4 linked regions of the Rattus norvegicus genome follow. The protein of the gene in region 1 purifies or fractionates together with the protein of each later gene. This does not show direct contact. Links are inferred from orthologs where the notes say so. Each region holds a gene or a part of one and is shown in the gene's direction. Other genes may lie near its edges. The genes, in order: Ppm1k, Bckdha, Dbt and Bckdhb.

Region 1 (7,724 bases):
ATTATTTCTCTTAGTACCAAGAAAGATTTAGGATTGTTTTTAAGTAGAAATGCAGAATCAACAATGGTTTCAAGAAGTACAGTCTTAAGTGTTGTAGCATGCACCATTACTTTTACAGCACTCAGGAGGCAGAGGAAGATGGATCTCTATGAGTTCAAGGCCAGTCTAGTCTACATAGTGAGTTCCAGGCCAGCCAGGGATACAAAGTGAGACTCTCTTTCAAAGAAGAAAAGGAGAACGTAGAGTCTTGACTGTCTTGGATGTTGGTGAGCTGCTGGCTTTAGAGGAAAGGAGAGCTACACTGCTATCCTAAATGCATAGGTAACGTGCTCACAAATCTGGACTGCTTGCCATTAACAGTGCCCAGATCCTTGCTTTACCACTTCATGAGCACCTACCACAAAGCACCACTGGAAGGAACTGGCTTATTTTGCTAGGTGATGTTTACATGGAACCAATTGACATTGGCCATGCTAATATGAAAAGCAAAGTTTAGTAATTAACAGATCTTAAAAGTCAGATCTGACATCCATATCATACTCTCTCTCCAAGGATAAGGGGCCATCATCGAGAAGGAAGTGGAAAGACTGTAGGAGCCTGATGGGGGATGAGGGACCAGAGTGAAATAGGGACTTCTGTATACGGAGGCCTGCTGAACTGAGAAGTGCAGGGCAGCTATGGATGCTGGCACCAAAGCCAGTCAGCATTCTAGTGTGGAGTGGGAAGGGGTGCACGAGAGCCCACCCCTAACTCAAGAGTTATGGACAGTAGATGGTCTCTAGGAGAGGGAGAGTCAGTTTAACTGGGTGACTCTGGTAGGTCAACTGACCTCACACAAGAGAACTTGGGCAACTCGAACTGGAGTTGACGAGTTACCCCCTTTTTAAAGGGAGGAGGTAGGAAGTAGGGGTGTCTCTTGGAGGAGTTGGTCGGAAGAGTTAGGGTGAATATGACATACGTACACTGTATGAAATTCTTAATAGATAAAAATATTTAAGGCAAACTCTGATCTAAAATTGTGTGTTTGCTAAAGCTTAGCTGCTCTTAGAGTACAGAATTGTTACAAATATTCTATTAGTGAGCTTTTTTCTTATTCCCATCCTTAGGAGAGGTTGTTATTGCTAACATTTACATTATCTTTTCTTCAGAACAACTGTGTGGAGAAAGGATATTAACTTACAAAGCGTGGCCCGATCACCAGCACTTATGATCGCAGCTGATTAGGAGTGTACAATGTGACCTTACTTCAGACTAGCTGAATCAAAACGTTCATTTTAACCATGTCCCAATGTGATAGCAGGCTAAATGGGAGAAGCGTGTGTTTGTATGTGCATATTATCGAACATTTATCGAATTCAAACACTGTGAGGAGCGTAGGTAAATTTTTGATTCAATGTTCTTAAGACGAGGATGATGTAGGGTACCTAACACACACACACACACACACACACACACACACACACACACGTAATGTCAGTCTTTTTATGGCTTTTGTCTCTGGTGGCTGGGGATGTATTGGCAGTATTCTGAATTACTGACTGTGACTGTCTTTCCCCCCGCCTCTAGGTACATCCTTTTTCTTCAAGGAATTCTACTATTGCCCTATTTGTCTTTCCCTGTGACTGGGGCCTTTGGAGTTGCACTATGTTATCAACGGCCTTCATTACTTTGGTGAGAAGTGGTAGGAACCAGGTGAAGAAGAGAGTGTTGTTAAGCTCCATCCTCCTGCAGGACCACAGACAGATGACTCCTGCCTGCTACTGCTCCATTTCGGAGCCCAGGTGTTCTCGGTTTGATCCGGACGGAAGTGGGCAGCCAGCCACTTGGGACAATTTTGGGATCTGGGATAACCGCATTGATGAGCCAATTCTGTTGCCACCTAGCATCAAGTATGGCAAGCCAATTCCCAAAATTAGCCTGGAGAACGTGGGCTGTGCCTCCCTCATTGGCAAACGAAAAGAAAACGAAGATCGATTTGGGTTCGCACAGTTGACAGAAGAGGTGCTATACTTTGCAGTCTATGATGGGCATGGAGGCCCTGCAGCTGCTGACTTCTGTCACACACACATGGAAAAATGTGTTACGTAGGTATAATCCTCTTGGCTTTGAAGTTCCTCTGGGCTTTCTGTTGAAATGTTCTCCCTTTGTTGGAAACGTTCAGTATGGACCAAATTACTTGAGTGACCACAGGCCACTTCGTCAGTGAGTAGTAGTCAACATAGCATCTAGAACTGGTGGTTATCTCCAGAAATGCATTTCCGAATCTACAGCCTTAGATTTATATCCATTTCAAGTAAATTATAAAGTACAAAGATAACTTGTGGGAAATTTTACTTGTGTGCATGTGTCTGTGTGTGCGTGTGTAGGCCAGTGGGTAACATCAGTGTCTTCTTGTATCATTCTCCACCTTACCTTTTGAGATAGAGTCTCTTAAAGAACCTGTAGCTCAGTGTTTTGGCTAGACGATGAGCCCACCCCTGGGGTTCTATGTAAAGACATGCATTGTCTTCTTATGGGAGCTAGGGATCTGAATGAAGGTCTTCATGTTTGTACAGCAAATACTTTACACATAGAGATATCCCCCTAGTCCTGAAGAAGAGTTTAATCAGCACAGGTAGGTTTACTTATTGTCTTAGTTATTTTTCATAAAGAGACCTGGTGACCAAGGCAACTTATAAAAGAAAGTTTACTGGAGGCTTGCTTACAGTTTCAAAAGAAAGTCTATGACCATAGTGGGGAATATGGTGACAGGTAGGCAAGCATGGTGTTGGAGAATGGTGTGGGTTTTTGAAGTCTCACAACCTACCTAGTGACACACCTCATCCACATCAAGGCCACACTTAATCCTTTCCAAACAGTTCCACCAAGTTGGGACCAAGCATTCAAATGTATGAACCTGGAGAGCTATTCTCACTCAAGTCAACATACTTAACTATATTATTGAGGACCACAATATTGTTAGAATTAGAGAAAGGAGACAGTGTGGCAGTTACAGTCATGAACTTTTTTTAACATGTTATTTATTTTGTGTGAGTACACTGTCGCTGTCTTCAGATACACCAGAAGAAGGCATCAGATTACGTTACAGATGGTTGTGAGCCAAGTGGCTGCTGTGAATTGAACTCAGGACCTCTAGAAGAGCAGTCAGTGCTCTTAACCACTGAGCCATCTCTCCAGCCCAAGAATTCTTTAAGACTAGGGACTTTGGGGTTGTGAGATGGCTCAGAGGATAAGATACCTATCACCAAGCCTGAATTCAAGCTTGGCTTGACTCACATAATAATAGATGAAGAGATCTACCTGAAAGAAGTTGTCTGCTAGCCTCCACACACATCACAGCATGAAAACATACAAAATGAATAAGGAGGGTTTTGGAGTTGGTTGTTTTCTCTACTTATTTTGCATGTGAGGCAAAGCCCCTACCGCTTGACTGTGTCTTCAGAAAGACTTGTTTATTTGTTTTGAGATAGAGTCACATAATCCCAGACTATGCTAAACCTGATTGTGACAAACAAGGATGTCCTTGAGCTTTTCGTGTGTGTGTGTGTGTGTGTGTGTGTGTGTGTGTGTGTGTGTATGCATGCATGAAGCCAAGCACCAGAGTATAATGGCCTGATCCTCAGTCCAAGAGTATCACAGTTCAGTTCATCATACTTAGTACCTTCCAAGATCAATAAATCTTTCTGGATCCTTAGATCTTCAGTGAAAGCACCCGAGAGGAAAGCTGTGAGGTCTGTTGTATGACTTGACTGATGCAAGATTGACTGTGGAAAGAGAAACCTACTTCAAAATGATTGGTTTTCTTTCCTCTCCACAAAGGGATTTGCTTCCTCGGGAGAAAGACTTGGAAACTGTCCTGACCTTGGCCTTTCTAGAAATAGATAAAGCCTTTTCAAGTTATGCCCACCTGTCTGCTGATGGTAAGTGAGCCATGGCATTCCTCAGAGCTTTGAGGGTTGACACGTCAAGACAAAAAATGTAGGCCTTTAGTGGCAGGAGTTTTTGTAGAAATAGTTTTATACAAAGAATCATTTTTTTCTTTTTCTTTTTTTTTTTTTTACAAAGAATCATTTTTAAATGCTGCTTAGAATCTGAACTAAATAATAATTATAATAATTAACAATAATATGTTTCACTTTTATGTTCAAACCCTTGTAGAAGGGAAAGCTCCAAAATGGTTGTTACTGAATTTTAATTTTAAAAAGATTTTTAAATGTTTCAATCTATTTGATTTGTAATTTTATGGACAAGATGTCCATACTAAGAGAATCCCATCCACCACCACCTCACCACGAATGAAACTACTACAGGACAATTACATCCGATAGGTTGATAATCACTCAGCATTACTGTAAGAAATAGGGGATCAGAGAGATGGTTCAGTGGGTAAAGACATCTACCACCAAGCCTCATCACCTGAATTCTATTCCCAGGGTTCACAAGGTGAAAGGAGAGAAACAATTTCCATATATTGGCTTCCAACCTTCACACATGTGCTGTGCTCGTTCATACATACACTTAGTGAAGACATATTCATGCACACACAAAGTAAATAATTTGCGGGAGAAAGAGATGTTAGCAATCGGTCCTAAGTATGATAGAAAGTGGCTAATTGGCATCCATTTGTATAGTCAGAAGAGAATATTTGTCTTCTGTTTTTCAGGCTTGCAACGTTCCTGTGGTAACTAGCTATATCTTTGTTTTTGTTGGGTATAAACAAGGCAGGACATGGCAGGTGGATTTAAAAGTTTGTGTACTGTGTATAAGGTTTAAAAATTAATGTTTCTAGTTTCAGGAAAATATGTCCAGGATTTTTCAGTTAGCTCACCAAAAATGTCTTTCTATTAATGTTAACTTTCAAAGCTTCTGCAGCCACCATCCAATGTATGCCTCCTAAGGCATGGGGCTGTGTGGGAATGTTGATCGTAGCTAGTTCTGTCTTTACCTTTAATAAGAAAAGTGCGCCACAGAAACACCATTCAGTTGGATGGAAATTCTCTCCATTTCACTCACAGATTAGGGCCGTGTTCATTTGCATATTTAATAGCAAGAGCTCTCTACCACTGAGCTTCACCTCCAGCCCCTTCCTGTTTGCTGAGACCTTACCATCACACTCCCCAGGAACACCTTATAACCAATCCACTCTTTCTCCATATTGTAGAGATAAAGTTTTCACTTGGTGGATTATTTGAAACTATTTTGTCTTCTTCTTCTGACACCACTCGCCTTAAAGTTCCTCTCTGCCTCTTTAAAGAGGAGTTAACAGAGGGTGAGGTTTATGCTCAAAATTTAACTTTTGCTCTAACACATGAAGAAGAAGTGAAACGCTTTCTCAGTTTTACTTTAAGGGGGTAGGTTGGGGCAAGGTTCAGTAAGCAGCCCAGGCTGGCTTAAAACTGTGTAATCCCAGCTGGCTTCAAACTCACAGAGAAAAGTGCATACTGTTACAACTAGCATTTTCCTAACAACAGTGGTTATGCTGTGTTCTTATCCACTGCTAGGTTGGCTGTGAATTTGACTGCATCATCACTGCACTGTGGGCTGTAGTGTCAGTATTATGCCCTAGCTATTGTACAGATAGCGGTGTTTACTGCCTATGAATTATAGAATACAGTAATCAAGAACATTGGCACGTGACCAACACTAAGATTTATTAACCCTACATATGGGCAAACAAGCTTTGTAAAAATTGATCTAATCAATGTTGGTGATTAAAATCATCAATACTAGCCTTGGTGTCAAATTTTAAAACACTTATCTTTAGTCATTGAATTTATAACATTTAACATGTGTATCTTAATGAGACTCTCTGACTCACATGATCAAACAGCTAAATAAAGAACTAAAGTATCATTTATTTCTAATAGTAAAATTAGGTTAGACTGCTTAATTTAGTTCCCCTGTCACACTTTGGGATAATCTCAGAACTAAATGAAGATGTCTTAAGACTTACTCTGCTTCTTAATGGTCATTTGCTGCAAAGTATGAGAGAAAACAAGATAGGGCAGTGTATGGTAATGCTATGTTTAAAAAGTGTTTTAACAGTTCTGCTGTGCACTGTGTGTGTGCATATTTCTGCTTTTTAAAAATCAGAGTTTTGGGGACTATTTTAAAGATTATCTGTGCAGATCTTCCAGATGGCATTAGGAAACTATTTATCAAGCATATTAAAGTTACTGAAGATAGGAAACTATATGCTAGCCTTTCAGGATTGGAGTGAAAGAATTCGTTCTATCTCTTACGGTTTCAAAGTTATCCAAATTTAAGAAATGTAAAATTTTAACTGAAATACTGAAGCACTATCAATATTTTAAAAGTAGATAGTACTCTTTTGGTGTGTGTGTGTGTGTGTGTGTGTGTGTGTGCGCGCGCGCGCACATGCACGCACAGACATGTGTTTATGTTGGGGGAGCAGTGTTTCAGAGTCATGGGTAGCTAGCATACATTTTATAGGACCACAGTTACCCTCTCTACTTCCTGTCTTTTCTCATTTCTTTACATCTGCCTTACTTTCACTTCTGTTGAGCCCTTCCTGTAAAGGAGTGCGGATTCCTTTTTTAACAGACCTCATGCATACAGTCTAGACGAGTGTTCTACCACTGAGCTAAGTCTCCAACCTTTTTGGCATCACCTTCAAGATGTTTAAATTTGATTTATGTCACACATCTTTCATGTCTGATGAAGCCAAGTAATTAGTTAATATACCATCACTTTATTTCTTACAAATAGACACTTAACAAAGTGGATGGTGGGAACCTCAGATCATAATGCAATCTACCCTATAGGTACTTGACGCGTGCTGTGCTTGTGCTTGGAAAGCAGCACCGCTCCTCAGGATGACATCAGGAGGAGGAGAACTGCTCAGACTCAGAGTGGGCGCTATCGATGGGCACGCTGTGTGGGAGCCTCAAATTCTGTGTTCTTTTTTGTAGGTAACTAAACTCCCAACATAACAAGAGCTATAAAGGCAAATTTGCTTTCTGTGCTGGGATTGAACCCAGGACTATGGGCTTGCTAGGCAAGTGCTTTGCCACTGAACTGTACCTATAGCTGGGCACAGTATTTTTGAATGCTCCTCTTATGCTGGAGGTCACCAGATGTGAACAGCCTTGAGGAGTTGTTCTTACTGTGTTGTGAACTGCTTCAGGTTGTTTATTTCATTTTAGTGTTCATGAATCATACATGTTAAGAACACCCATTTCTAATAAATAGTTCAGCAATATTAATATTGGCTGATATGGATTATTATTTACACAGCTTAATAATCACTGGGGGGGGTGATGTTAGATTTTTTTCTTTCTGTTGCTGTTCAAATTGTGATTACTTTTCTTCTCTTCTATTGACCTACAACACTGAGGAAAAAGAGAGAAAGAACAGCAGAAATACTTAGGATTACATAAATATATAAATATGTATTATCAGTCAAGATCCACACTGCCTACCTGTGAACAGCAAATTTAAGTTGTCCAACTGGATAAAGTTCTCCGTGCTAAATTGCTGTCTTACTGTGAGCAAATATGCTGTGAACAAATGCCTTATGTCCTGTTTCTGGCATAGGAGCTGCTTTCCTTCTCTGTCCTTCTCTGTGTCTATTGAAACCCTAGTCAGCTAATATATACTATAGTTCACATACACTCTCTATGTACTACTTAACAAATATAAATGATTTTGTTTAGGGGGATGGTTCTAATATTGCTACAAACTAAATCTATAATGTATTTTTT
Region 2 (7,724 bases), on another chromosome or scaffold:
TGTCTCTGCCCAGCCATTGGCTACCAGCAATTTTACCAATCAGAGTCAGCTGGGGGCACGGATCTTTAGCGTTTAATGTGCATGGATTTCCGTGTGATTTTTGGAAACCCAAATAGCATTGTGCAAGCATTAAACAAAATCCATAACCCCATTGCCGTGCCATGCCGTGCCATGCAGGCCTTTCTCATGGTCTCTTACAATTCTCATAGTCCAGGTGGCTGCTGGAGTCTCTTCCAGGCAGCAAGCAGAAGGCAGGTGGGAGGCCGAACACGGCCCGCCTCTGCTCCTCCCCAGCTCGTGCCTCTGTAGAGCCAGCTTTCTTGGGCAGTCCCTGAGTGCCGTCTGTCAGTGTTCATCCTAGCTGCCAGAGAGACTAGCCTTACTTGTCCCTTCTGGGTATCTCTTGCATGTGGCAGAATGGGTGCTTTGGTAACAGGAGGCAGGGAGGACTTGGAGGACAGACCCCAAGGTTGGGGTGCATCTCAGGCTCACCCACACACTGACTGAACTTGACAGCCATGAGGCCCTCCCTCCATACCCAGTACCCGCCCACCCACTTGGCACCAGAAAGTCAATTAAGTTTTAATTGGCTCCCTACTTACAGAAAGCCCGTTCTCATCACTTTCCCATGCTGCTGGGAAGAGGGTTCCAGGAGCAGGAGCTCCACAGAGGTGGGCAGTCCTGAGGGGCAGCTTGGGGAGAGCTCTTTCGTATGATCTTGGGTGATCTGGATCTCCTCACACACCAGGGCTTCCCCAGCTCTCCAGCCACACCTCCATCCTGGCGGCCTAGACCAGTTGGCCTCATCTCGGCTCATACCCCATGCTAGACAGCCTGTCCAGACTTGACCTGCGTGCCCTCCTCCTCTAACCGTTTCTTCCAGTGCCCTTCTCACCTACCCTGGCCCCCAAGTCTCACCTGCTGTCTGCCATCCCCCTGCCTGCCTTCTCTCTGTTTCCTGATGTTCCCTTAGGAGTTGGTGGGCAGCTACAGCACTGTTGGGCACCCACCCTGTCCCTCTGCCTCGTCCTCTATGGCAGATTGGCCCTTGCTCTGTGCCTGTTGCCTCATGCTCACAGGATGGCTTCTACAGGTCCAGGCATCCTGGCTCTTGAGTGAGGCAGGAAGGACATGGGGGTGGTGCCAGCAAGCATCTCCCTTATGCAGAATAGCAAATTCTATTAAAGCCTGCGACTAAAACTGTCCCTGACCAATCACCTCTGGCTGGCAAGGGGGACTGGGAAGCCCAATGATTTTCCCGGCCCAGGGATAGAGAGGCCAAGTGGGCACGGATGGTCACTCTCTGAGCTAGTAATTCAGCTTTTGAGGACTCATTCATCTGTCCTTCTTTCTGTGTCCCTGGCTCCCAGACCAGGGCACCCTCTCTCTTGGCACTATAGTCTTTCCTGTTTGCCATCCCTTCCCCGCAGAGCCACCTGAGGTGATTCCAAGACCCAGGCATGGCTGCAGAACCTCTGCAGAGAGATCTGGAGCACAGTGCGATGCACCTCTCTCCCCTCACCTCACTTGATTGACCTCGTGGCCCTCTGGCCTCGTGTCTTTCCTTGTTCTTCTGTCTAGGCCTTCCACCCACCCACCCTGCCTTTGCCCAGTGCAGCAGGTTATCTCCACACCTGACTGCCTGGGCTTACTTTAAGGTCTTGACACTCGTCTCTCACTGTCCAGCAGGAGCTCCTCGAACCCAGCCCAGCACAGTGATGGCCACAGTGGTGACTGATCATTACAAGACTGGCAAGGGCTGGGTAGCTGGGTGCGACAGCATGCCCCTCTAACTCTAGCACCCAGGAAGCAGAGGCAGGCAGATCTCTGTGAGTTGGAGGCCAGCTGGGTGTACTTTGTGAGTCAGGGTATCTAGGGCTATAGAGAGACCCTGTCTCTAAGAGTAAAACAAACAAAAAAGTAAGGCAGGGTTCTCTGTGAAGGACAGCCTTAACCAAGCCTGGGCTTCTGGCCCTCTACCCCCTAGGGCCGGATCTCCTTCTACATGACCAACTATGGCGAGGAGGGGACACATGTGGGGAGTGCCGCTGCCCTGGAGCGAACGGACCTGGTGTTTGGCCAGTACCGGGAGGCAGGTATGTCTGTTGGTAGTTTGCTCTGGGGTCTCCATTGAGCTCCACAGCATGGTACTGTGAAGGCCTTGGGAGCCCAAGAAGCAGCATTGAAAGCGTTGAGGCTGTGACAAGGCAGATCTCTCTACAAAGTGTGGGATGGTACCTCTTGCAAAGAAGGTTGGCTCACAGCCCTCTCTGAACTACCACCACCTTCCCATCTCCAAGGTGGCAATAAGGAGGCACCTGAATTGAACCTGAACTGAATTGAGCTGCTGGAAGGACCCTTGGGAATCAGGCCTGGCTGAGGGCATGGCATGCTCCGTGGACACCTGTTTACCCAGGGCAGGGCATTCTGCACTCTTCTGAGGTGCATGTTCCCCAGGAAGCAGAAGCTGCGGGAAGCTCCTGAGCTTCTTGGCAAGGGAGAGGGGTACGGAGGAAAGCAGGGAGCAGAAAATAAGGCAAGAATCTTGGAGAGCTAGGGACGTGACCTGGCAGCATAGCTCCTGACTATCAGTGAGGGCTGGGGGAGAGGCCTGCTGAGCCGGGAGATGTGTTTTTTGGGGTCTGGAGAGGAAGGTGCCCCTGGCAGTACCAGCCAGGCAGATCCTGAGCCTTGTTGGCCTGCCACATCTTAGGCAAGTTACTTGGTCATGCTGTCCTCTATAAGGAGGTGGTAGCACCAGCTGGCTGCTGAAAAGTCACAGGCAGTTGGCATAAAGCTAGCACAAGGCTTGGAGTTAGAGGCCCTCGTCATTGGAGCCAGGGACCACTTTTCAGAAGTGGGGCTGGCCAAGGTGACTACAGAGACCTCCTTGGATGAGCTAGGCATCCAGTCCACAGCCAGACCGGCTCCTGACTCCTCTTGTACTGGGCCGGGACATAAGTCTGCGACAGTTGAGGCATCAGCAAGGAAAGCCAGGTTTCCAAAGCACTGGGGACCCATAAGCTCTTGTCTGTATGGAGGCGACAGTACAGGAAGAGGACTGAGGCCACCCTACTTCACGTTGGGAGGTGGAAAAGACTGGCACAATAGCATGTGCTTGTAAACCCAGTTCTCAGGGAGCTGAGGCAGGAAGACTGCAAGTTTGAGGCCAGCCTGGGCTACATAGCAAGAATCTGTCCTTAAAAACAGCAAACCCAAAGAACAAGGCACTGTGCCGTGAGGAGATGAGAGGTCTTCATAGCGGCAGGCGACCGGTCTGCCTGGTCTCTGACTGCGTCAGAGCTCCTTGTCCAGTCCCCTGCTGCAGAGTGTGGGCACTTTGGAGCTGGTTTGGGTGGCTTGTGGAGGTCCTTGTCGCAGCCAGTGAGGCAGTTGTCCTTGTTAGTTGTGAAAGCCAAGCAATCATCAGGGAGAATGAGGTTCTGGGATCCAGGCCATCTATCTGCCTCCCAAGGAGCAGGGCTAGTGAATACTCTTCACTAAAGTCTGCCCCAGTCACTGCCCTCTCTGTCACTCTGGCTGCCCTCCCATGACCATATTGGCCATTTCCAACTGGGGTGGTGACAGGGTGTGGTGTTTGTTCAGGACTGTGAAGCAGCAGCAGGTGCTGAAGCAAAGCGATTCCCATGGGACCTGCCGCTTCCTGGTGCAGGTTAGATCTGCCTGGGTGCCGTGCGCAGCCAAGGCTGTCGGATTTGTTTATGTTTGGCGGTGGTGGAGATGGAACCTAGGACCACATATGAGGCAAGCACTTACCACAGATCCCACCCCAGCCTGGGACTGTGTGTGTGAGCACCTTCTTCCTGTCCCTTCCTGGTGACTGTCGTGTACAAGCCCCAGCGCCTGGGCCTTGTGAGTTTCTGGGAAGTCTCAAAGCAGGAGCTCCCCGTCCTCTGCCAGAGCCCCTGCTCCATCGTTGCCTATGCAGTGTAGCAAGGCCTTTTTGAATTTATTGTGCCCATCCAAAGTCATCTGGCAGATGACTATGAAGGCCAAGGCGTGGTGGCATGTATGGAAGCAGAGGCAGGAGAGTTGCCACAATTTCAAGGCCAGCCTGGCCTACGTATGTAGAAGGTCCAGGCCCACTGGGTATGGTGGTGCATACCTTTAATCCCAGCAGCTGAGAGGTAGAGGCAGCAGATCTCTTTGAAGTCAGCCTGATCTACATAGTGAGCTCCAGGACAGCCAGGGCACCAAGTGGGACCTGTCTTAAGAGACAAACAAGCTGCTTATCATGTGACCCTATTGCCTTGTTTTTTGTTGTTACTGTTTTGAGACAAGGTCTCACTATGTAGCCAGGGCTGGTCTGGAACTAGCTTTGTAGACCAAGCTGTCATTGAATTCACCTGCCTGCCTCCCAAGTCTCATTAACTTCTCATATGAAGAACAACTCTGCAGTAGAGGCTTGGGAACAGACAGACAGCTGCTTCAGAGTGAGCTCATGCTCTGGGAGACCACGGGGGCCATGAAGATGCTTCTGGGTGAGTTCAGGCTCTGCTGGACTATAGGACATCATGACCCACAGCGTTTGCCCAGGGCTGTGCACTGTGTCCCCTTTCAGTGATGCTGAGAGAGCCCCAGCGTGTCCTGAAGCAATCACAGACCCTCCAGTGCTCTGGCTTAAGTCACCTTTCGATGTCGATCTGACATCATCCGGCAGAGCCTTTTCTCCAATTAATTAACTAACTAACTATATCCCAGTATCATCCTCCCCTCCCCTTCATCTCTGAGAAGAGGGAGATCATCGCCCCAGAGTATCACCCCACCTTGGCACATCAGGTCACTGCAGGACTAGGCACATCCTCTCTCACTGAGGCCAGACAAGGCAGCCCAGTTAGTGAACAGGATCCACAGACAGGCAGCAGACTCATGTCAGCCCTGATGCTAGTTGTTGGGGGCTGCATGAAGACCAAGCTGCATATATGCAACATGTGTGCAGGTTAGTTGTCTCTGTTGGTTTTCCTATGGAGTCCCTGTCCCCTTTGGATCCCTCAGTCTTTCCTCTGACTCTTCCACAGGACTCTCTGAGCTCCATCCAGTGTTTGGCTCTGGGTGTCTTCATCTGTCTCAGTCAGGGTAGAGCCTCTCGGAGGACAACCATGCTATGCTTCTGTCTGCAAACACAGCAGAGCACCTTTGCTAGTATCAGGGATTAGTTCTTGCCTAAGGGATGCATCTCAATTTGGGCCAGGCATTTCTTGGCCATGCCCCCCCTGCCCCCCCCCGCCTCCCCCCCACCTCCTCTCCATCTTTGTCCCTGCATATCTTGTGGGCATGACACATTTTGGGTCAGGTTTTGTGAGTGGGTTTGTGACCTTACCACTCCACTGTGAATCCACTTCAGGGTCCATATCTCCTACTACTAGGAGATTCAGCTAGAGTCACCCTCCTACACTCCCTGGGGCCTCCTCCCCTCTGGCACAGCTCTCTGGCATGTTCTAGAGGCCTCCCTCAGGACTTTTATTTGAAGAAAAGGTTTTATTTCTATGAGTAGATGGAGGTGGATTAGTTCAAGACACAAAACTCACAATTTCTCATTGGGACAAAAGCCTTGGGCTGGGGCTCTATCAGTGGTAGAATATTTGCTGGCATGCCTGTCTGAGGTTCTGGGTTCCATGTCTAGCACTATGAAAAGGAAGGGAAAGGGGGATGCTGACACCCTCAAAGGAAGGAGAGCCACGTCCCCTCAGCGTTGTGGCCCATGGGCCACTGGATGGCTCCCTGTATCTGTGAGCACAGGGGCAGGCACATATGGACTTAGACAGCGGCTCACTGCGCGTTGCGACCAGGCTAGCCTTAAACTCTCTGAGATCTGCCTGTCTCTGATTCAAGTGCTGGGATTAAAGGCTTGAGCCACCATGCCTGGCCCGTGAGTTATGAAGAAAAAAGAGAAAAAGAAAACAACATGAAGGCTGAAGGAAAATGGAGGATGTTCTCAAAAGAGTTGGAGGTGGGGATCAGGGTGAGGGTGGGGACATGGGCATGACCTAAGCATCTCATGGTCGTGGATGAAATCTGAAAAGCCACATATCGAGTGACAGTTTGATGGATCTTCTCTCACTGACCATGGACCTTGAAGGCTGAAAACAAGATTTTTACAAAGAAGACCTCACCTGCCATTTTCTGTGCAGGGCAGCCCTGTCATACGCAAAGTTCAAAGTTCAGTTACACCTCTTAAAGACTAGTGTGGGATGATGGCTAACATATAAACCATTCACCCTTGCTGAGTTACCAAGGGTTATCTGGGCCAAACAAGTCTCTCCTGAGATCGGTCTATCTGTGGACCTGCCTGTCCTTGTAACCCCCTGAGTCTGCCTACCTTCTACCGTCTGACTCTTAGCTTTCTTTTAATCCAAGGCATCATCTTGTTACATAGCCCTGGCTTCAGCTTGCAATCCTGCTGCCTTAGCCTCCAGAGTGCTGGGCTCAAAGGCCTGCCCTACCACCCTGACCTGGCTACTGCCTTCGAGGTGGAAGCTCGGGGAGGAAGGGACTGGTTCTAGGTTGTGCACAGGGTTGGCCTGGCGCTCCTCCCCACTGCACTGCTTCTCGGACTCACAGTCACCTCCTCCTGCCAGGTGTGCTCATGTACCGGGACTACCCGCTGGAGCTGTTCATGGCCCAGTGCTACGGCAACGTGAGTGACCCAGGCAAGGGACGCCAGATGCCCGTTCACTACGGCTGCAAGGAGCGTCACTTCGTCACCATTTCCTCTCCACTGGCTACGCAGATCCCTCAGGGTGAGGACATGTACTCTGAACCTCATGCATGCCATACCTGTGGCATAGCTCTCTGTGGGCCTGGGCTTCCAGCCTGCTAGTTGAGTAGTGCCGTTAGAGCCTGGCCTATACACAGGGCCTCTCAGAGACGGCTCCGTGGTATCCCACCCCATCAACCAGCCTTGGGTCATCATGACCATACTGACCTTCCCAGACTGCTCCTGCCCAAGCCAGCATGGTCAGGCATTGTGTCCTTGCCACACTCAAAACTGTCTAAGAACACTGGTGGTGGTTGTGGGTGAGCCTGGCATGTATCATTATCCCTGTTACCAAGAACGGGAAGTTGAAGCTGAAGCAGGAAGTGACCTACCAGGGAGGAGGGCAGGAAGTCACTCATGGGTACCTGTGACTGCAGAGACCACATTCTACCCTGCCCTGGCTAGCCTTGGTCTTCAGAGCCAAGTACACTCCCCAGAGCTGGGCTGCTCTGAGGCTCCTGCATACCACAGAGACTGCCAGGATGCTGGGCCTGTGCCCACACAGCACACAGACCAGGAGTGGCTCTCTTGTGTCCTCCTGGGCCCAGAATCTGATGGAAGGCATGTGTCTCAGTATAGCCTGGCTGTTGAGCCAATCCCGGTGTGTGGCTTGTGTGTGTGCAGACTTCCTGGGAGAATGGTGGGAAGCAGAGCTCTGTTTGTTGTGGTACACCAGAGTCCTTTATTCGGCAGATGTATGCAGTGGCCACTATATGCCTACAGTCACCCTAGGCTTTCCAAAAAAGAGAGACACATGTCAGCCCTGTTGATACTGACATTGGCTTGGGTGAGAGCAATGGGGAAGAGACAGTACCTGGAGTGCTTTGTACAGGCGATAGGAAAGGCAGCACAGAGCCATGTCCTGGGGGCAGAGGCAGAGGCAGAGGCATCACAGGTGACTAAAGGAAGTAGTGTGGACCAGTCGGGGGGGAGGGGTGCTGGGCAG
Region 3 (6,909 bases), on another chromosome or scaffold:
TAGTGACTTTTATTTTTTGGTCTTTTGGCTTTTTAAGATATGATCTTGCCATATGGCACAAGCAGGCTTCAAGCCATCACTCTCTCATCCTCAGCCTCCTGAATATTCGGATTACAGCAGCCTACACTAGATTGGCGAAGCAGTTGGTACCTTTGTTTTAGAAGGCAGCAGAGTCTGTCTTTTCTTCGTTATGTTTCTCTTTTCTTAGCTTATGTGTTAAAGGTTCTACTGAGTAATCTTTATTTCCTAGGCCTCTCACAACATTGGGATAGCCATGGATACCGAGCGGGGGTTAATTGTCCCCAACGTGAAGAACGTTCAGGTGCGCTCTGTATTTGAGATCGCCATGGAACTGAACCGCCTCCAGAAACTGGGCTCTTTGGGTCAGCTCAGTACCACAGACCTCACGGGAGGGACATTCACTCTTTCCAACATTGGATCAGTAAGTCATGCTCGGCACAGTTAGAAGTGTAACTTTAATTGCCGATCCCATGTTCCAGTAAATTACAACGTGTAATCTATCAGGCATTCCCTGAAAGCTACATTTTCTCATTCTTCTCAGATTGGTGGAACCTATGCCAAGCCAGTGATATTGCCACCTGAAGTAGCCATTGGCGCCCTGGGAGCCATTAAGGTATGTGTAGTGAGGAGCTGCAGGAAGGAGACTTGGATTGAAGGTTATCTCCCACTTTGTGAAGGTTAGCTCAGTACACCCATTCCTCCCTTCTCTTGAACTAGGTCAGAGGTCACCGTGCAGCTCCAGCTGGCACAGATTCTGGGTCCTCCTGCCCCACTATTCACCTGCTGGGACTACAGGTCTATCCTACCATGCCTGGCAAGGGGCTGATTTCTTGGAAGGCACTTCTACTTTGAACGATAATCTAGATGGCTTAAAAAAAAAAGATCTGTGGCCATGTTTTAGGACTCTTGAATAGGAGTATAGGGATAAGACACTGTGTGTGTGTGTGTGTGTGTGTGTGTGTAATGTAGAGGTAATTAAGGAATCAGTTATCCTTCTACCATGTGCCTTCTAAGGTTCAGACTCAGGTAATGAACGTGGCCTGGCAGCAATCACCATTATCTGTTGAGCCATCTTGCCAGGCCTGTCTATTAAATCTAATAAGTTAGAACTTACATTTTGTATATTTCTTATTTATTAATAGCCGAGGGTTTTTGCTGTGTGTGTGTGTGTCTGTGTGTCTGTGTGTGCATGAACGTGTGCCATGCCCTCATGTGCTCAGAGGCTAAAGCGTGTGGGTGTTCCCCTCTGTCACTCTGCACCTGTGACCCATTCCTTTGACCCATGATCTCTTGCTGAACCTAGAGCTTGAGATTTTTGACTGGGTTGGCAGCCAGCAAGCCTGAGCCGCCCTTCTGTCTCCTCCTGCCCCGTGCTGGGGTCACAGGTGTGTGGGGCCACACCCAGGTTACTGCGTAGGTGCTGGGATCTGAAGGCTAATCCTCAGTCTGGCTCAGGAACTGTTCTTAGCTGCTAAGCTGCACCCTTCCCATGGCTCCTATGTGCATTTTGCTTTTTTATCGTTTGCTTCTTGATACCACAGATGGAACTTGTTCATGCCGGGCAAAAACCCTTCAATGCGCTACTCCCAGAGCCCGCGTGTATGCTTCTCGGGATAGCCCAGCCTGGCTTGGGTTTTCGTTTGAAGCTGGAGAGACCCCGCCTTTCCTGACATGTTGTCTGTCACCTGCTGTGGCAGTGGTCACGCCTCCCGCCGTAGTCATCAGACTGCTTTCTATTCCTCTCACACCCCCATCCGGCCCTTGCTGCCTTCTGTAAGGAGTCCAAGAGTTTCCTTGTCTCGGTTCTCTTTTCTGTAAGAGAGTCATAGCGCACGGAGATTAATCACTGTTAACTATTTGAACTCTGGGTGAAATTTAATGTAAATATTATATGTGAGGCGGGAGATCTCTTGAAAACATTAAAGCTTAGGCTATGACCTCCCAAGGCTGGGGCAATAGGAGGCAGCACTTGCAGAAGCCCGGGCGGACGCCCCCTGGTCAGCAGGGAGGGCTGTGTTCTAAACCGAATACCACTGTTGTCAGACCTTCCTTCCACTGTGACTGACGAAAGTTTACCCATGTTTACTTCTTGTTCTCCATTATTTCTAGGCTCTTCCCCGATTTGACCAGAAAGGGGATGTTTACAAAGCCCAGATAATGAATGTGAGCTGGTCAGCAGATCACAGGGTCATTGACGGCGCCACCATGTCACGATTCTCTAACTTGTGGAAATCCTACTTAGAAAACCCAGCGTTCATGCTGCTGGATCTGAAATAACGGCGAACCAGACATCCTTGAACTTTTCGCACTTCCAAAGAGTATGTCAGGCCCGGCTGAGCCAGCACCGACTCTTGTTACAGTTGCATTAGAGGTGGCTTGTGCTGCCTTGGTAGGGCTCTAACGCACAGGATTTATCACTGACGTATTAGGCTTTCTGCTGAAAAGGAGCGGAGGGTAACGGTTCTCCTGGGGTATCACACTGTGTAGGTCACGAGGGGGCTTCCCACTATGGTGCTGAGATCATTGGGTCAGTGAGTTGAAACAAGCAACAAAACAAAATCGACATCACTCAATGTCACTAATAATGTCACTCAATGGTGAATAGCAGTGCAGATGCTGCACTTGCTCTCTTTTTAATTTGTGACTGATTTTTTAATGAAACTTTTAAATTATAATTAATCGGGGAAAGGAATTTATATACAAATATGTTTTCATTTCCCAACAATCAAGGCGACTGCCCTATAAAATAAGTGGAATTATGTTTATTTCTGCAGCTAATGAGACATATACTCTTGCCTTATGTGTAAACTATCATCTATAAATGTCTTATAGCTATAAATTAGGATTTGTTAAAAGGGGAAGTTATAATTTGGTCTTAATTATAGTTTACAACCAAAAAGGCTGTTAAAAGTAAATGTTTAAAATGGATAGACTTCTAGAGCTGTAGAAATGCTTTGGCATCTTGCTGGGAAATACTTGACTTTGCAAACTCACTTTGTGATGTAAAATACCATAAATACAGCATCACTGGCTATTTTTCTCTTACTACTTACCGATTTATTGCCTTTTGATTTCATTGATCTTCAGCTAAACATGAGAAAAGGACTTGGAATCTGTTCTGTTCTCCCGTCCCTCAGTAGGAGCATGAATAAGAAGAGTCAAATGGGAAATTATGGGCACACAATTAGTTTATACAGAAATGCTACTTTAATCCGATAGCGTCAGGATGAATCGAATTCAAGGCTGAGCAAACCTTTATTCCCAGCACTTGAGAAGCAAAGACAAGTGGATCTCTGTGAGTTTGAGGCCAGCCTGCTCTACCGAGTAAGTTCTCAGACAGCCAGAGGTACATAGAGAGACCCTGTATTAAAAAAAAAAAAATCAAATAAAATCAAATTCAGTATTTTGAAATCTAGGTTTGGGGTTTTTTCTTCTAATATTATCTAATTAAATATATCATGACAATATCGCTTATTTAAATGAAAGTTTTGTGGCAGAAGAAAAACGGGTCATTTTAATGCCTACTTGATTTTTTCCCAAAATGGAATTATGTTATAAATTTAGTGAGTACTGTTTGGTTAGAAATTCACATCACGAAACCCATTGTTTTCACATAAAGAAAATTAAGAAAAGAGAACCAATTCAGAACAGGCATTGTGTCCGTAGGCCTGTAATCCCCATACCTGGGAGGGAGGCAAAGGCAAGAAGGACCATGGCAGGAGGCCATTTTAGGTCATGTAGTGAGACTTTGTTGGAAGAAGGAGAAACTATAGATAGCAAGGAGAGTAGCACACTGCTATCTATAATCTAAACATTATTAACATGATATATGTGTCTGTATACATATATAAGTATTCCTTTATAAAAATGAAATAATATATCTACTATTTTACAATTTGATTTTTTAAAATTTATCCTTATGGATGTCTTTATATGCCAATAAACAGTTCCACATTATCATACTCTGTGTGCCTTATAGTAGTTCGCTCTGTGTGTGTGTGTGTGTGTGTGTGTGTGTGTGTATTTACTGTTTGGTTGGGGGGGCATGTATGCCACAGTGAGTCTATGAAGATCCAAGGATAACCCATGGGGGTTGCTTCCCTCCTTCCACCAGCAGCCTCTTCCTGATGAGCCATCTCAGGGGCCCACACAGTCAGTTCCTACTGTGGTGGTTGCGTGTCAGTGTGTCTCCCCAAAAGCCTGTGTTGGTGTCAGCTTTAGCTGCCCTCTGCAGATCTGTCTGCAGTGTCTGGGATTTGAGGATATTAGAGAGCGTGTGGACTTCAGTTGAATGCTGCAGACAGCTTTACCTTCAGTGTGCTTTTATACACAGATAGAACAAAGCAGTGATCCAAGTAAGATTTGAGTTTAAAAAAACATGTGAATAAACACGAGCAAACGCATGCTAAATATTGACAGAGCAGCCTTTTCCAGACCTCTCTCAGGACAGACCGATATGAACACAGTTGCCTGGCACATGCTGTAGATTCTATCTGAGGAAGCACAGAAGCGGCCGAGGTCACGTCCGCTCAGGGCACACTGAGGGCATGGCCTTTGACTAGGTCGGGTGCTAGAGCTGTTTTGACATCCAATGAGAATGAACACGGCTTATAAATTGAGACAAATGTTCGTTGCAGGTGGCACGGAATCGTGTCCAAGAACAATCCAGGGAACAAAATTCACTGGAGGTAAAAGGTTCTCTGCCATTGTTTACTGTCTGTCATTCTCTGACCCCATTGTGACATGTTAGTAACGTAATCCCAGAGGCAAAGCGTTGGCAGGTCAGATGCTTAAGTCATGAGGCACCACCTTTGTGAATGGATTAGCACAGGTTGTAGGACTTGAAGCTGTTTGCTTCCTCTCCTGTGATGCCTTCCACCGAGCTGTGATGCAGCAGAGAGGCCCTCACCAGATGTGGCCACTGGCACTTGAGTTTCCCAGACTTCTTAGACTGTGGAGTAAATCTTTGTTCTTTAAAAGTTACCCAGTCTTGAGGGCTGGAGAGATGGCTGAGTAGTTAAGAGCACTGGCTGCTCTTCCAGAGGTCCTGAGTTCAATTCCCAGCAACCACATGGTGGCTCACAACCATCTATAACGAGATCTGGTGCCCTCTTCTGGTGTGTCTGAAAACAGCTGCAGTGTACTCACATACATAAAATAAATAAAATTAAAAAAAAAAAAAAAGAGTTACCCAGTCTCAACTGCTTTGTTATAGCAACCCCAAACAGATGGCTGTGTTCCTTTTCTACACTTGCTTTTTTAAAGATTTATTTATTCTCACAAGGCCCTGGGTTCGGTCCCCAGCTCCGAAAAAAAAAAGGGGGGGGAAGATTTATTTATTCTATGTATGAGTACACTGTAGCTGTCTTCAGACACACCAGAAGAAGGCATCAGATCTCATTACAGGTGGCTGTGAGCCATCATGTGTTTGCTGGAATTTGAACTCAGGACCTCTGGAAGAACAGTCAGTGCTCCTAACCTCTGAATCATCTCTCCAGCCCTACGCATGCTTTTTGAAAACCTAAGATTAGGTCATTGCATCCTTACTCAACTCTAATCCAACTTGACAAACCATCTGACCCCAAATCAAGATCTACTCTACCCCGGATTAAAAATCCTCCAGTCAAGTTCTTGGCAGATCTTTTTGCATGTGTACTTCTTTTGTGGAATCCTAGTCAGTAAATAAATAAATAAAATAAAAATGGAGAGAGTCCATTGATAAGTGGCTATTAGCCCAAATGCTTGAATTACCCTAGAACACATGAAACTCAAGACGGATGATCAAAATGTGAATGCTTCACTCCTTCTTTAAAAGGAGAACAAGAATACCCTTGGCAGGGAATAAGGAGGCAAAGATTAAAACAGACACAGAAGGAACACCCATTCAGAGCCTGCCCCACATGTGGCCCATACATATACAGCCATCCAATTAGACAAGATGGATGAAGCAAAGAAGTGCAGGCCGACAGGAGCCGGATGTAGATCGCTCCTGAGAGACACAGCCAGAATACAGCAAACACAGAGGCGAATGCCAGCAGCAAACCACTGAACTGAGAACAGGACCCCCGTTGAAGGAATCAGAGAAAGAACTGGAAGAGCTTTAAGGGGCTCGAGACCCCATATGTACAACAATGCCAAGCAACCAGAGCTTCCAGGGACTAAGCCACTACCCAAAGACTATACATGGACTGACCCTGGACTCTGACCTCATAGGTAGCAATGAATAGCCTAATAAGAGCACCAGTGGAAGGGGAAGCCCTTGGTCCTGCTAAGACTGAACCCCCAGTGAAGGTGATTGTTGGGGGTAGGATGGTAATGGGGGGAGGATGGGGAGGGGAACACCCGTATAGAAGGGGAGGGGGGGCTAGGGGGATGTTGGCCTGGAAACCGGGAAAGGGAATAATATTCGAAATGAAAATAAGAAATACTCAAGTTAATAAAAAAAAAATGGAGAGAGTCCAAAGAAAACCACAAAGGCCAGCTGAAGCACGACGTGAGCACACAGCTCTGGTATGGAGGCCTCTATATCAGGCTCACGCAATGCCGTGTGGAATGCTGTAACTCAAAGCACGGGCAACAGCTGTCACTGGTGCTGAGAAGAGAGGGGAGAAAGGGAACGAGAGCAAGTGGACATCAAGAATTTAGGTTCTAAAAGCAACTAAAAAGAAAATAATCAGAAAACAAGTAACAGGTTATACACGGGGGAAGCTGGGCAAAGGTAGGAAGGGGGTTCGCTGGTACTGGGGAGGTTGAGGCGGTCTCCTTCTAATGGTTAGCATGGGTGGCCTCCATCACCCGTCCCTCAAGTGAGTACTGTTACACCAGCTGCAAACTGTTTAACTTGAGGTTTGCTTCAGTACGTTTCCACAATAGGTCTAAAATATGGTA
Region 4 (7,724 bases), on another chromosome or scaffold:
AATTGTATCCCATAGGTTTGATCTGTTGTGTTTTCCATTTTATTAACTTCTAGGGAGTTTTGGATTTCCCTCTTACTTCCTTTGGTGACCTACTCATCATTCAATAGTGTTCCTTAAACTCCATGAAGTTGCCCTTACTTAAAGAGACTAGGATTCCATACTCTTGACTTCTCTTTAGTGGGTACAGGAGAAATTTCTGCTGAGCTCTTTTAACTCCCAGAGGTTATTTTCTAATGAGTGTTTAGTAGAGGGCTGTACAGGTCCAGGCGTCAGTGATAACATGCTGGTCTGTGCCAAAATGGGACATACTTTCTTGTTAATGGACACATCCGCCTCAGGTTCTGCTCTTTGGCACCCATTAGTTTAGTCTGTCTGCATTCTGGTGGTCTCTGAATGAGAGTGGAGAGTCCCTTGGGGTAAGCCTCATGACTGTGATCATTTGTTCCGTGTCTCTCAAGGTTCAGGTGTTCAGTCAATGCCCACTTTTAGCTTTCCAGTGCCTCTGAACCTGATCACTTCTCGTCTGGAATTTTAAGTAGAGGAGGGTTAGTTTGTAAGAAGCAACTCTGCAGTCTACTTCAGTAGTTCAACAAGTGGAGACACAGAGTTCAGTTACGCAATTCAAACAGTTTTCTCATTTCTAGTTTTTTTTTTTTTCACTTTTGAGCTATGTATTATAGACATGCATTTAGTAAGCCATCTAACAGTCATCTAGCACAAACTTTACCTCTCCTTTTTCTCCTCTCCTCCTTCCTTTTCCTTTCCTTCTGTGGCTGTGATTGAACAGTGTGATAGAAGTAACTTGAGGCAGAAAGGGTTTGCTTTGGCTCACAGCTCAGCGGGACTGTCTGTTGTAGTGGGGAAGACATGACAGTAGGCGGAGAAGGCGCGGTGCCAGGAGTTGGGGTGTGGGCGGAGGAGGAGGGTGACTAGTCAGGTTGCATTGAAACTCAAGTAGAGAGAAACTAGGAAGTGGGGACGGACTTCACAGCCTTAAAGCTTGTCATCAGTAACCTGTTTCCTTCAGAAAGGCTCCACCTCCTAAAGGTTTCACATTCTTGACTAGCTCCGGTGGGAGTGGGGTCGGGTGATGGTGTTTAAACATATGAGCCTATACTTGGATATTTTACAATAAACAACAATAAAATAATCAGCTTGCTTTCTCGGTCCCTCTCCCTCCCCACCCACCCACCCCCTCACCCTCCCTTGGTCCTCCCACCCTTCCCCCTCCCACCTCCCCCTCTTTTCCCCTCGCCTCCCCTCCCCTCCCTTCCACTGAGCTACCACTGAGCTCTACAGGTCCAAATATAGATTTCCTTATTGTTACTAATTCCTAGTATAATCCTACCATGGCCAGAAAACATACTCAGAATGGATCTTATAAATAATTTGTGTTATTGGATATATTTCTTTATTTACATTTCAAATGTTATTCCCTTTCCTGGTTTCCTGTCCATAAGTCCCCTATCCCCTCCCCCTCCCCCATAAGGATGTTCCCCTCCATCCACCCCCCTCCCTGACATTCCCCTGCACTGGGGGTCCAACCTTGGCAGGACCCAGGGCTTCCCCTTCCACTGGTGCTCTTACTAGGCTATTCATTGCTACGTATGCAGTTGGAGCCCAGGGTCAGTCCATGTATAGTCTTTGGGTAGTGGCTTAGTCCCTGGAAGCTCTGGTTGGTTGGCATTGTAAAATAATTTTAATGAGTTTGTAATTTGACCATTTCAGATATATGTGCATAGTGCATTCTACTTACTCTCCCCTCGCCTTTCTCTCGGCTTCCTCCCACCACTTCCCCCAACAAGTCACTTTCCCACGTTCAAGTCTTCTGTTTTGAGGCTTGCTGCATTCGACTTTACTCTCTACACAGTCGCTGAGATAGGTCGATAGCCCAGCCTATGGTTGGCCCATCCCTGTTAGTATTAGTATTCCTGGAGTGAGTGCTGTAGGTGACATACTGCGTGTGTCAGTTAAGTCACATATTTATTGTGTTATATGAATATTTTTAAAGCCCCTTTCTTTTGGGGGTGGTAGTTTTTTCTGTTGTTGCCCAGATAGTATCTCAAAAGATCCCGTGCTGACTTACGCACTCGCCTGTGTTCTAAGTTAGTTACGGCAGTCGTTCCGTTCTGCTGGGCGCTCATTGTCGCATGTCTTCTGAAGTCTTCTGAGGCCCACCCTTTGACAGTAGGAATGTGCCTTACCGTCTCACCCTTTGACCGTACGAATGGTGCCTTACCGTCTCACCCTTTGACAGTAGGAATGTGCCTTACCGACTCTGGCAGTGTCCTCCTCTTGATGTCTGCTGTTGGTCGAGTGATGTCAACGTCCTTCTGTGTAGTTTACGCTTTACACTTTTCCCATCAGATACCTGGGTTTTGCCTTTCAGACAGTCTCAGTGTGGCAGTCTTTCTTTACTTGGTTTGTGTAGGTTTCTTATGTTTAATTATTTAATAAAGTTATGTACTGAAAGCAGCTGTTTTGCTGTTTATTATTTCCTCTACCTGTCCCATTTTTCTTCATCACACTTACTTTCAGACACATATTGCATAGCTTTAATTTGGGGCATTTCTTTCGTTTGGTATTTATACTCCTATTTATTTATTTAATCTTTTTTTTAAAGGAAAAGACAGAGTGTTTAACACCCCGTTGTGTGAACAAGGAATTGTTGGGTTTGGCATTGGAATCGCGGTCACTGGTGCTACAGCTATTGCGGAAATCCAGTTTGCCGACTATATTTTCCCTGCCTTTGATCAGGTAGGTTGCTTGATGCTTTGCTGGGAAGGGTATCTCTTCCGGCCAGCCTCCAGTGTTCAGACTCGGGCCCCTCCCACTCAGCCCTGCCCCTCCTTTAGCAATCGTTGTCTATTTGTGCTCTGCAGTTCGCATTTTATAGTGGGAATGCATTTGAAGACCCAACGTCATGCTTTTGGGGCATGCATTAGGCAGGAAAGAGTCACGGTGGCATGTCCCTTTTCTCTGCAGATTGTCAACGAAGCTGCCAAGTATCGATACCGCTCTGGCGATCTTTTCAACTGTGGGAGCCTCACCATCCGGGCCCCTTGGGGCTGTGTGGGCCATGGGGCTCTTTACCATTCTCAGAGTCCTGAAGCCTTTTTTGCCCATTGCCCAGGAATCAAGGTACCCTTGTTTACTTTCTTTATTTGATCATTATTAGTTGTATCCACCGTTGCTCATGCTGTCAGTATTAACCAACAAGGGGACTTTGGAATTGATATCAACTTAACTATATTTGAGACAGGGAGGTTAGCATTTCTTTTTAAATTAACTTGCTGATGCCCAGTTTTCTAGAATGTTCCTCCTGAAGCAGCACTGGCGTGATGTTGGCATTAATTAACTGCATAGGTGCTGAAGAATATGCCATTCTCCCAGAGTTCTAGTTTCTTCTTTCAAATGGGTTTTCCTTGTTTAGGTGATTTTGAGGTACCTTTAATAAAACTTGTTTTATTACTTCAAATTCGTGTTTGCTTTTAGCGCAGTTTTCAGTTTCTGAACAGCTGGAGAGAAGGCTGTTGTCTAGATATGAATCTTCTGTTCTAGAATAAAGTAGCATTGCTCAGTCCATTTGCAAGAGTCTCCTGTTTGAAACTGGCACTTGTAATAGCTTTTAAGTTTTTTTGGATGTCACAAACATTTTGAGTGTTTTGTCTCTTGATAGTCACCAAACAGCTTTCCAGGGAATCACAGAAACGCACAGATGTTTAGCAGAGAGGCATGCTTGCTTTTGACAACACACAGACCAGTTGTAAAAATGTTTACATCCCCCCCCCCTTTTTTTTCTCTGCTGGATCAGAAGAATAAGGGTTGTCTCAGTGGAATGGAGTCTGTATGCTTTTCTGATACAAGCCAGCAGGGGTAGTTTGGGACAAGAGCCGCTTTGATGCAACACTTGTTTTTGAGTTTGGGCTGGATGTTAATCATATTTAGCGTTTGTACCATATCCTAGAGTTTTAAACAACAGAACTTTTCGTCTTCCGTTGTATTTTCTATTTTTTATTTTTAAACTTGAAATACACACACATCCTCGCATGCACGCACGCATGCACGCACACACTTACTCTAAAAGGGTAATAAAAATAACTCTTATGAAGAAAGCAAGGGCTGGAGATCTGGCTTAGTGGTTAAGAGCAGTAATTGTTCTCGAAGAAGATCGGAGTTGGACCCCAGCACCCACGGGGTGACTTACAACCGTTTGTGTAACTCAAATTCTAGGGTGTCTGATACCTTCTGGCCTCTGTAGACACTGCACATTGTGGTATAAAGACATATATACAAGCACAACACTCATGTACAGAAAATGAAAATAAATTTTATGGCAGGACAGTGGTGGTACACACCTTTAGTCCCAGTGCTTGGGAGGCAGAGGCAGGTGGATCTCCGTGAGTTTGAGACCAGCCTGGCCTACAGGGAGACTTCCAAGTTCTAGGACAGCCAAGGCTACAAAGAGAAACCCTGTTGGGAAAAACAACAACAACAACAACAAAACGAAAACAGAAAGAAAGGAAGAAAGACAGACAGACACACTAACGAATAGAAGCGTGAAGGCATTGTGTTAGATATGGTTAGTAGAGAGATTTATGCTTTTTTATTTTTAAACAAAATTCTTTTAATAAAAATAACACAATTCCTTCAAGGCAGTAAGATTAAAAGTGTGAGGTCAGCCTGGTCTACCTAGTATGGCTTTCTCTGAAGCAGATCAAGGGCTGGGGGTGTCGCTCAGTGGAGAGCACTTGCCTAGTATGTGCAAGCTAAGGACTTCCAGATCCACAAACCAAACCAAACCAAACAAAAACCACAATAATGTGTTTGAAATCCAAAGGTAGTTTGCTTCAAGGAGTCTTCTGTGATCTTCGTAGGAGGTTCATGCTTATTCTAATAATCCTTCCAATCTCAAGTTTGTTCTTATTTATTTTATAATCATGAGAATTTAGATGCGAGTTTATGATTTGATGGCCAAGAGTGTGGTCTCCAGTTTGTATCTGGAGAGAGTAAGGATCTCTGTCCTAGTAGGCTGTGTGACCCTGGGCAGTGCCTTTACCTCTCTGTATGCTCCAGTCTCTATCTCTAAGTGGACCAAGAGTAGTAGCTGCTTCCTGAGGTCCCTGTGAAGGAGAGATGAAATGACCCACACAGAGTGCTTCGACAAGTTATCTCATGCACTCCTCCTGTCAACCGTCCTCCTCCTCATTCCTAGAGATCTTGGAGCCCTTTCCTGTCCACCGGAGATGTGGAATGGCCATGCTTCTCTCTACTCTGAGCAATTCGTAGGACATAGAGTTCAGTGTGTTGCTTTTTCACTTAGGAGTGCAGGTTGCGTTTGCCCGTTAGGACAAAGGGATCGTGGTACTGTACATTGGTGAGCGGTAGCTGCCTGTCAGTTTAGAAATGCTTATCTGAGGGGCAAGGTGTACATTTTATAGTAAATACAAATACCCATTCTCTAGTTGAATTAGTTACACCCGATTGGTTAACTATCAACCTTAGGAGTGGATTTAATGGGATGTGTTTTATTAAAATCGTTTGTTTTTACAGGTGGTTATACCCAGAAGCCCTTTCCAGGCCAAGGGACTTCTGTTGTCATGCATAGAAGATAAAAATCCATGTATATTTTTTGAACCTAAGATACTTTACCGGGCAGCAGGTAAAGATTCCTTGTATTTTCTCTTTGTGATTATCCTTACATTCTTTTACATAGTTATTTTTTTAAAAACCTTTCTCCCCTAACCTTGAATTCCACTTTCCTTATAGATTGAGTTCTGTGATACTTCATTTTGTCCTCAGATGTAAACATTAGGGAAAAACACATCTAGTTAGATTTTGACTGCAGGATGTAAAATGTTAACGAGAATACATGGTCATGCTTAGCTCTGTCTGGTTCTGTGGGTTGGAGGAGAAAGCGAAGGTTCTTGTTGGACTTCATGACATTGAAAGTCTGCTTTAGATAAGTGACCCCAGGCCCTCTAGGCTGGGCTCTGGTGAGGCAGGTACTGTTAACGGTGTGCTATGGTACTGGGCTCCCCTGGGGGTCTGTCTGCACTACACCAAGATGCCTGGTTGCCTTTTCTTTAGCTCACAATCCCAATTCCATAAACACACATCTGTGACTGCTTATTGCTCAGCTGTAATGGAAAATTTAAATATCAAATGATTTATTCTATCTAAAGTGTATCCTCCCACACCCTGAATTCAAGAACATTACTCTGGCAAATCACTTTTGAACATTTAAATCTGAAGCCACATGTTTTTGTTATGATGTAATTTATATACAGGAAAACACACAACTATTGGGTTCGGTTTGATGGGTTTCTGACAGCCACATACATCCACGTAGCCACTGCACAAAACCAGGTGCAGGACATTTCTTCGCTCCTGTAAGCCTTCCCCCCTTCTTTTCTTCCTGCTCGTCTCTTCTCTCAGCTCTAAGCTTTCCGATTGCGATTAGGTTAGCTGCTCCTGTTTATTTTAGATTAGCTGGGCTTTGTGGAAATGGAGTCTCCCGTATATTGTTCGTCTTCTTTTGCCCAATCTAGTGTCACAGAGATTCATCCGTGTTGTCACCTGCGTCTAGGTGTATTGCTGTGTCACAGCCTGTTGTGAGAAGAGTGACTGCTCATTATTATTGCAGTCGTGATAATTCTGCACAGTCGTGCACGGTGTTAGGGCATTACTCAGAGCGAACATGCCTGTCAGTCGTCGGAGTAGTTGTTCGTCATTGTTACCGAGTATTTCCATTATTGTAAGAAAAACTGTTTCTAAATAAGGAAAGGAGGTTACTTCTCTCTTGGCAAACTTCTGGCCTTTAAATATTATAAATATATCACACTTCTACTTCTAGTACCTGACTTCTAGGGGTTAATTAGGAAGTGCATCTCGGTTATAAAGAAAAAAGTACTTAAAAATCTAAGGCATACGGGGGTTGGGGATTTAGCTCAGCGGTAGAGCGCTTGCCTAGAGAATGCAAGGCCCTGGGTTCCATCCCCAGCTCTGGAAAAAAAAAAAAAAAAGAAAAAAGAAAAAAAATCTAAGGCATATATAGTTCTGTGGTATAAGTGTTACCTTAAGTTTGTGTGTGCTCACTATCATTGATGGGAGGCTCACGCACTGGGCTTCTCTTTCACTTTTTCCACTTAGCTTTTGAAAACCGACTTGTACTGCTAGCAGAGAGAGATTTCCCCAAATCTGAAGTAGTATTGCCTCCATAGCTCTTGGATATTATTTTTTTGAATTAAAATTATAGATTTTATTTTTTATAGATGTGTACTTTTTTTTTTCTTTATTAACTTGAGTATTTCTTATTTACATTTCGATTGTTATTCCCTTTTCCGGTTTCCGGGCCAACACCCCCTAACCCCTCCCCCTCCCCTTCTATGTGAGTGTTTCCCTCCCCATCCTCCCCCCATTACCGCCCTCCCCGCAACAATCACATTCACTGGGGGTTCAGTCTTGGCAGGACCAAGGGCTTCACCTTCCACTGGTGCTCTTACTAGACTATTCATTGCTACCTATGAGGTTGGAGCCCAGGGTCAGTCCATGCATAGTCTTTAGGTAGTGGCTTAGTTCCTGGAAGCTCTGGTTGGTTGGCATTGTTGTTCATATAGGGTCTCGAGCCCCTTTAAGCTCTTCCAGTCCTTTCTCTGATTTCTTGGATAGTATTTTAAGGATTTCTTTAGGAACTTAAAATGTCAGTCCCCTAAAAAAAAAAT

Evidence for each region.
Region 2: the proteins of Ppm1k (region 1) and Bckdha purify together in Homo sapiens (affinity purification with mass spectrometry; 4 studies listed by BioGRID and IntAct, counting the BioPlex papers as one, with this or other methods). This does not show direct contact. The link is inferred for Rattus norvegicus from reciprocal best matches to the Homo sapiens genes PPM1K and BCKDHA.
Region 3: the proteins of Ppm1k (region 1) and Dbt purify together in Homo sapiens (affinity purification with mass spectrometry; 4 studies listed by BioGRID and IntAct, counting the BioPlex papers as one, with this or other methods). This does not show direct contact. The link is inferred for Rattus norvegicus from reciprocal best matches to the Homo sapiens genes PPM1K and DBT.
Region 4: the proteins of Ppm1k (region 1) and Bckdhb purify together in Homo sapiens (affinity purification with mass spectrometry; 3 studies listed by BioGRID and IntAct, counting the BioPlex papers as one, with this or other methods). This does not show direct contact. The link is inferred for Rattus norvegicus from reciprocal best matches to the Homo sapiens genes PPM1K and BCKDHB.

What each region holds. Positions count from the first base shown.
Region 1 is NC_086022.1:88,949,612-88,957,335, forward strand, and holds part of Ppm1k (protein phosphatase Mn(2+)-dependent 1K), read left to right. Parts: intron 1-1,566; 5' UTR 1,567-1,644; coding exon 1,645-2,084; intron 2,085-3,819; coding exon 3,820-3,920; intron 3,921-6,785; exon of another isoform or gene 6,786-6,885; coding exon of another isoform or gene 6,886-6,928; intron 6,929-7,724. UniProt on the Homo sapiens protein: Serine/threonine-protein phosphatase component of macronutrients metabolism.
Region 2 is NC_086019.1:90,269,177-90,276,900, reverse strand, and holds part of Bckdha (2-oxoisovalerate dehydrogenase subunit alpha, mitochondrial), read left to right. Parts: intron 1-1,987; coding exon 1,988-2,096; intron 2,097-6,599; coding exon 6,600-6,761; intron 6,762-7,724. UniProt on the Homo sapiens protein: Together with BCKDHB forms the heterotetrameric E1 subunit of the mitochondrial branched-chain alpha-ketoacid dehydrogenase (BCKD) complex.
Region 3 is NC_086020.1:207,191,546-207,198,454, forward strand, and holds the end of Dbt (lipoamide acyltransferase component of branched-chain alpha-keto acid dehydrogenase complex, mitochondrial), read left to right. Parts: intron 1-250; coding exon 251-442; intron 443-562; coding exon 563-634; intron 635-2,130; coding exon 2,131-2,298; 3' UTR 2,299-3,983; downstream 3,984-6,909. UniProt on the Homo sapiens protein: The branched-chain alpha-keto dehydrogenase complex catalyzes the overall conversion of alpha-keto acids to acyl-CoA and CO(2).
Region 4 is NC_086026.1:93,768,190-93,775,913, forward strand, and holds part of Bckdhb (2-oxoisovalerate dehydrogenase subunit beta, mitochondrial precursor), read left to right. Parts: intron 1-2,623; coding exon 2,624-2,757; intron 2,758-2,985; coding exon 2,986-3,141; intron 3,142-5,553; coding exon 5,554-5,662; intron 5,663-7,724. UniProt on the Homo sapiens protein: Together with BCKDHA forms the heterotetrameric E1 subunit of the mitochondrial branched-chain alpha-ketoacid dehydrogenase (BCKD) complex.